Saccharomyces cerevisiae S288C: one gene and its partner. The protein of the gene in region 1 interacts with the protein of each later gene in a biochemical or structural test. Each region holds a gene or a part of one and is shown on either strand. Other genes may lie near its edges. The genes, in order: FUN14 and OM45.

The links.
Region 2: the proteins of FUN14 (region 1) and OM45 form a complex in vitro, tested with the Saccharomyces cerevisiae proteins (one study listed by BioGRID).

The regions. Positions count from the first base shown.
Region 1 is NC_001133.9:135,040-138,339, reverse strand, and holds FUN14 (Fun14p), read right to left. Parts: upstream 1,427-3,300; coding exon 830-1,426; downstream 1-829. Other genes in the region: ERP2 (Erp2p), read left to right, coding at 1-642; Nem1-Spo7 phosphatase regulatory subunit SPO7, read right to left, coding at 1,707-2,486; MDM10 (Mdm10p), read left to right, coding at 2,675-3,300.
Region 2 is NC_001141.2:91,440-95,416, reverse strand, and holds OM45 (Om45p), read right to left. Parts: upstream 1,799-3,977; coding exon 617-1,798; downstream 1-616. Other genes in the region: VHS2 (Vhs2p), read left to right, coding at 1-352; TMA108 (Tma108p), read left to right, coding at 2,629-3,977.

The DNA of each region.
Region 1 (3,300 bases):
AAATCTACAATTGCTCTACCCTCTTTCTTCATTGTTTTAATTTTGGCGTTGGTCAATTCAGTGGCTGCATCTTCCAGTTATGCACCAGTTGCTATCAGTTTACCAGCATTCAGCAAAGAATGCCTGTACTACGATATGGTTACTGAGGATGATTCCCTGGCTGTGGGTTACCAAGTTCTAACCGGTGGTAATTTTGAGATTGATTTTGATATTACTGCTCCTGATGGATCTGTGATTACTAGTGAGAAACAAAAGAAGTACTCAGACTTTTTATTAAAATCGTTTGGAGTGGGGAAGTATACCTTTTGTTTTTCCAATAACTATGGTACAGCGTTGAAAAAGGTAGAAATTACACTAGAAAAGGAAAAAACTTTGACTGACGAGCATGAAGCTGATGTCAATAACGATGACATTATTGCCAATAACGCCGTGGAGGAAATAGATAGAAACTTGAACAAAATCACGAAGACTTTGAACTATTTGAGAGCCAGAGAATGGAGAAACATGTCTACCGTCAATTCCACCGAATCAAGGTTGACTTGGTTATCTATATTGATTATCATTATCATTGCCGTTATAAGTATTGCCCAAGTTCTACTTATTCAATTCCTCTTCACTGGTCGTCAAAAAAATTACGTTTAAGAACTTTTCAATCTACGAAAAATATATGTCCGCAATATAGAACACAATTAGGTTTATATTCGACGTGATTTTTTTTTCTTCCTTAGCCCTATGTATATTTACTGTATAGGATAAATGAAATACCAAAAATAAAAAAGTATAAAACGAAAGAATATAACCCTCGTTTATATCTGGTCATTTGTCTTGCTCATTTGTTAGCATTTAAACTTGCTAATACGAAACTCAATGTAAAGAATACTTTAAAACCCATGTATTCTGTACCCAATAACCCATCAATAAGCAGTTTCTTCAAGTCTACATCTTTCAAAACAATTACAGATTTGATATTTTTCAAATTAATGCGAATCCATCCCTTGTACCGTAACCATTCACAAAGAAGCATGCTTGTAATACCGACATACATAAACAAAATTGATATCTTAGCCACCGTAACTCCTAAAACAACACCGAATAATGATCCCAAAAACATCTGCTTGTGACTACTTATTTTGTTCCTCCTTTCCTCGGTAATTGCCGTACTGTTGCCCACAGTTGGTTCCAAGGGACCCTGTTGTTTGACAGCTGCCCCTAAAGAATCATTGAATATCAACTTAGAAGGCTGGCGATTCATCAAGTAAAAGCCACCAGCAACTATGCCAGCACCGCCTAACCCTACAGAGCGAGTTAAGGGCTTTCCTAATTTATTGGCGACATTAAACCTCCATAAGGGGACGTTCTTGAACATGCGCTTCCCAACATTCAAATTACGAAACACCAACCGTTGCATATTAAAAGCCAAAGTCATTTTACACCTATTATTTTAAGTTCTTCCTTCTTGCCCCTCTAGCGTTATGCTGTTGTATGTATAATAAGATGCCTTGTTTAACCAATTTCAACAACCCCTAGGTTTTCTAGCACTTGTTGGAAAACTTAAATATGAAATGACGGATTTGTAAAATTTTCACGACACAACAGCTTCACTTCTAATAATGTATAAAATATAATTTATGTGTGAACATAGATGGTTACAATTTTACATAGGTAAATATGACCTCTTATTCGAAGGAAGAAGCCCTCCAACTCTTTCATTCTGATTTAGGTCGGAGTTCGTGCGCTTGTTTGCGTCTTCTAGCACCTTCCCTGGCCCAAAACTCGTCTCTATAAATCTCCCATCCTTCTCTAATCTCTGCACTAAATGCTCTGGGGTTGAGGACTAATTTCACATCCACAGCTCCGATCCTCGGTTGGGATTGTATCGTGACACTTTTCCAAAATTTCACAATGGCATTATCGTCTTTAAGCCACAGAAATTTTTTCAAACAATAAATATTACAATAAGCAATTGTTCGACTCACAAATCTTACTGAATCTGTGTATTTCTCGTCCCACGTAGACTGTACTTTAACTAGCTTCACATTAAACTGCCTAATCCCTTTATTAGTAGAGGTAAAAAATCTTCTTGGAATGACGATAGTTCTTCTATATTGTCCACTGATATGAAAAAGAACTACAGTAATGGAAATGAAAGAAAGAGTGAATTGCAAAATAACCCTATGGAGGCCCTTGACATAATCTGAAGTGAAATAAAGTTCGTAGAAGGTAAATGCGCCTACACCGGCCATAGACGCTAAGAACAAAGTGAATTGCCACTTCAGTATCTTTTGTTCGTGAGCTTGGCGTCTTAAATCATCCTCCAGTATCAACAAATTCCTGAAAATCATCGATGCTGGAGAGATATTACTGGAGTTCCGTATATTCTTCGCACTGGATGTCTTGCTAGTAGAACGCCTGCGAGGCCCGGACACTATACTGGCACTATCATCCTGGGCATGGTTCCCCACATCGCCTATGCTCTCTGGCTCCATGACCTCCTTTATTTAGCTTTCCACTACCTTTCTTCCTTTGTGTGTATAATCAATAGATTTTCGCTAAATTTCGCATCTTCCCTTTTAAGAATAATTAGTATTTAATTTTACTTTGACTTTATTGTTGAGTGAAGAAACAAAGCAAATATACGTTAGGAAAAAGACACGAACAGAGAAGACCGATCTTGATGCTACCCTATATGGACCAAGTACTAAGGGCATTTTATCAGAGCACCCATTGGAGTACGCAAAATAGCTACGAGGATATAACGGCCACATCGAGAACATTATTAGATTTCCGAATTCCCTCAGCAATACACCTGCAAATTTCCAACAAATCTACTCCCAATACATTCAATTCTTTAGATTTTTCTACGAGGTCCAGGATAAATGGTTCTCTGAGTTATTTATACTCCGATGCACAGCAATTGGAGAAATTCATGCGCAACTCTACTGATATCCCATTACAAGATGCCACCGAAACATACAGACAATTGCAACCAAACCTCAATTTCAGTGTTAGTAGTGCGAATACGTTGAGTAGTGACAACACCACAGTCGACAATGACAAGAAATTACTACATGACTCGAAATTTGTTAAAAAATCCCTTTATTATGGTAGAATGTACTACCCCAGCTCTGATTTAGAAGCAATGATAATAAAACGACTAAGTCCACAAACCCAATTTATGCTTAAGGGTGTCAGTAGTTTCAAAGAAAGCTTAAACGTTTTAACGTGCTATTTTCAAAGAGATTCTCACCGCAATTTACAGGAGTGGATATTTTCCACCAGTGATCTATTATGTGGTTATAG
Region 2 (3,977 bases), on another chromosome or scaffold:
TTCAAGAAGAAACAGCAATAGGCCCGGCAGTGCTGCCAACATTATGATCGGGAAACCTAAATCCAAATTCCATATGGAATCCAGTGGCAGTGAAGGGTTTTCTTCCGAAGAGGAGGACAACACTATGATTGAAAGAGATAAACTCAATCTAAAGCAAAAATTGCAGTCACAACTGGCACAACCACCATCAATTGCCAACATGGTTAACGATAATCACAATAATACTAATAAACACAAGAATACTATTAATAATAACATCAAAAATAGCCCTGCGTTCACAAACTCGAATCCAAGTTCAAAATCAAATTCAAACTCTACAATAACCTCTATGAATCCAGACACAACCAAATAAAGAAAACTGAAGGGCCGCGATTGTTCATTTCTTCAACCTTCTTCTCCTACTCTAAAAATTCATTTAAGTCTCTTTTTTCCATATATATAGATATATAACGGTATTTTATGTATGCACGTATACCCCAATAATGCCACTAATTTACTCCGTTTTCCAATCCATAATCAGCAAAGACCATATGTGATTTCAAATATAAAAAATGAGAAACATGTGAATATGTATATATGTTATGCGGGAACCAACCCTTTACAATTAGCTATCTAACTAGTCCTTTTTCGAGCTCCAGAATTTACCATCACCCTTATCATTCCATTCTTTGAATTTGTTCTTGGCTTCATCGTACTTTTTCAACGCTTCATCGTACTTCTTTTGGGCCTCATCTTTTAAAGCCTGCTTGTCATTGTCGACCTTGGAAGTCCATCCAGACCACCAGTGGCTGCCGTACTGTTTCAAGTCCTCCTTCGCCTTAGATAACGAGTCCATGGCATCGGACACGTTCTTATCCAGTTGTTTCTTTGAATTCTCATAATTCCATCTTAAATCGTCCATTTCGTCCTTGGAAAGTTGAGCGGCTGTTTCACCCCATCCTTCTAAACCTCTGGCTACCCGTTCAGCAATCTGTTGCTCGCTTTGCTCCCCTTTGTTGTAACCAAACCAGCCCTTTTCCTTGATCTTCTTCAGCTCGTCAAGACGTTTTTGCGCCTCGCTTGGCTCTGAAGAAGCATTTCTCTTGGCTTCCTCCAACTCTTCTCTACCAAACTCCTGTGCCGTATCACCCCAGCCTTGGACACTTCTTGCAGCGGCTTCTTCAGTATTAGCGTCACCCGTGTTATTCTTCAACAGGCGTTTCAAAGGATTACTGTTCCTTTCCTGTTGGTCTAGCTTGTCCGAAAGCTCATTAAAGTCTCTGGCTCTCCCGTACCTTTCGTACTCAATGGATGCTCTGTCCAGAGCGGCCTTCTTCTCTCTCATCACCGTGGACAAGAGCTCCTTCTCATTACGATCCACTGCCTCTTCGAAACGCTTCTTAGCAGTATCAAATTCCCCGATGGCTATGGCTTTCCTTCTTTCAGCCTCACTAAACCCCCAATTGAAGATGCTTTGCGAGGAAGAATCCTTGGCTTTTTGGCCTAGCTGCTTGCGTGTCTGAGCATCCTCTTCCGGTGATATCACACGCTTAGTTACCTTTGGAGCCTCTTCCCTAGCCTTTTGAGATACGCCCAGAAGCGCGTCTTTTAACGACAAGGCATCTTCCTTTATGCCTTGCTTTATGTTATGTAGCTTTCCCAACTGTGGGGGTGCTGAACTGCCGTACTCCTGGCCGTTGTAGTAAGCGGAGACGTTGCCCTCTCTTCTCTGACCCTTGGCCTTCTGTTCTCTGACCATGATGCTAGCTGTGATGGCAGCTGCCAATGCTGCACTGCCGACAATTATTCTTGATGACATCCTTATCTGCTTGTTTTATTAAATGATTAACGTTACTGGCCAATCAAAAATACCCTTTATTTCAAGAAAGGGCAAAGAAGCAGGACTTTAGCAAGAACCGTTTCCCCTTATATATACTCCTCTTCAAGGAACTCGACAAAATAAGGGTCAACAAACTCCTCCCTTAACCCACACGGGCCACCGGCGAGCTTGTGCTCCTGCGAATAGCAGTACACTATTGGTTGTTGCAAATCCTGACGATTCACTTTCAAACACCATGCAGGCAGGAGAGTCAAACAAGACTGTTTGCTGTGTTATTGTCACCGCTGATGGTTGTGATGACCACCGCTTACCTATGACGAGGGGCAACGTCTTCACATTTCATGTTTACCACCAATATGCCAATTATTTTAAGAAATCTGCATAACAGAAGGACGCCAGCTGGCCATAGCATTTATAGATTCCTGCATTAATGTAACCGTCCGCACACCGTATGTATCAGCTTGTCAATTATTATATGAAATGTATATATATTTACGAACTTCAATTTTGTCAACATATTTCTGGAACAAGACTGGCTGGAACGGCTCAGCACACACAGGACAGAATATCAAAATTCTCGAGTACTTTGAGAACCCCCTTCAAGTGAGGTACCACCCTTGGTTGTAGTCTTGTATATTAATCCTTCTTTTCTTTAGTATAAATCGATCCTTTCTATTATACAATTCGCCGGTAATTTTTCAGTGAAAAACGAGTTTTGCAGTCAAACCATTCCTGGATGTGCTATACAAAAAAAAGGTCCGAAGACGTGTAAAGGATATATAACGCCAGGTTGATCATCACTAACCATCATGTCTGATAATTTGTTATCTTTAGAGAATCCGGTGGTGCCTAGTCACTATGAGTTGCGTCTAGAAATTGACCCTAAGCAGTCGTCGCCCAATTTCAAAGGATCCGCCATAATCCATTTGAAATTCAATCCGAACTCCACCACCTTAGCTTCTATCGAAGACAGTTTTACCCAGTTCAAGTTACATTCCAAGGATTTGATTGTGTTGTCTGCACATGCCACCATAGGGTCTACTAAGTTTGATCTAAAAATTTCTCAGGACACTGGAAAGCATTTGTCGATTTTCAACTCTGAATCTCCTATTCAATTGTCCAACGATTGCCCTCTGATTTTGTCCGTGCAATACGTGGGTAAAATTCGTGACATAAAAACACATCATGATAAGACTTTTGGTATTTTCAAAACCAATTTTATGGATCGTAAAACCGGTACTGCCAATAATCACGTCGTTGCTACTCACTGCCAACCGTTTTCCGCTAGCAATATTTTCCCATGTATTGACGAGCCTTCAAACAAGTCCACTTTTCAATTGAACATTGCAACGGATGCACAATATAAAGCCGTTTCCAATACTCCTGTAGAGATGGTCGAAGCTTTGGATAGTTCTCAAAAACATTTGGTGAAATTTGCCAAGACACCTTTGATGACTACTTCCGTATTTGGTTTTTCTATTGGTGATTTAGAATTTTTGAAAACGGAAATCAAGTTGGAAGGTGATAGGACTATTCCCGTTTCAATTTATGCACCTTGGGATATTGCTAATGCAGCTTTCACTTTAGATACAGTCCAGAAATATCTACCTTTGTTGGAATCCTATTTTAAATGTCCATACCCTCTGCCAAAGTTAGATTTCGTCCTACTACCATATTTAAGTGACATGGCAATGGAGAACTTTGGTATGATCACCATCCAACTAAACCACCTGCTCATACCACCAAATGCCTTGGCCAATGAAACCGTCAGAGAGCAAGCACAGCAACTCATTGTCCACGAACTCGTTCATCAATGGATGGGCAACTACATATCTTTTGACTCGTGGGAATCTCTTTGGTTTAATGAGTCTTTCGCTACTTGGTTAGCTTGCCACATACTAGAACAGAATGGTGACCTATCCCATTATTGGACCTCGGAACCTTATTTACTACAGCAAGTGGAGCCGACCATGTGCAGAGATGCAGCTGACGTTAATGGAAGAAGCATATTTCAGATTGCGCAACGGAACACTGGCATAGATTCTCAAACCTCCGATATTTTTGATCCTGAGGCATACACAAAGGGTATTATCATGCTGAGGTCCCTGCAATTGGCTACAGGCGAATCTCATCTACAAAAGGGCCTGGAAAGTGTATT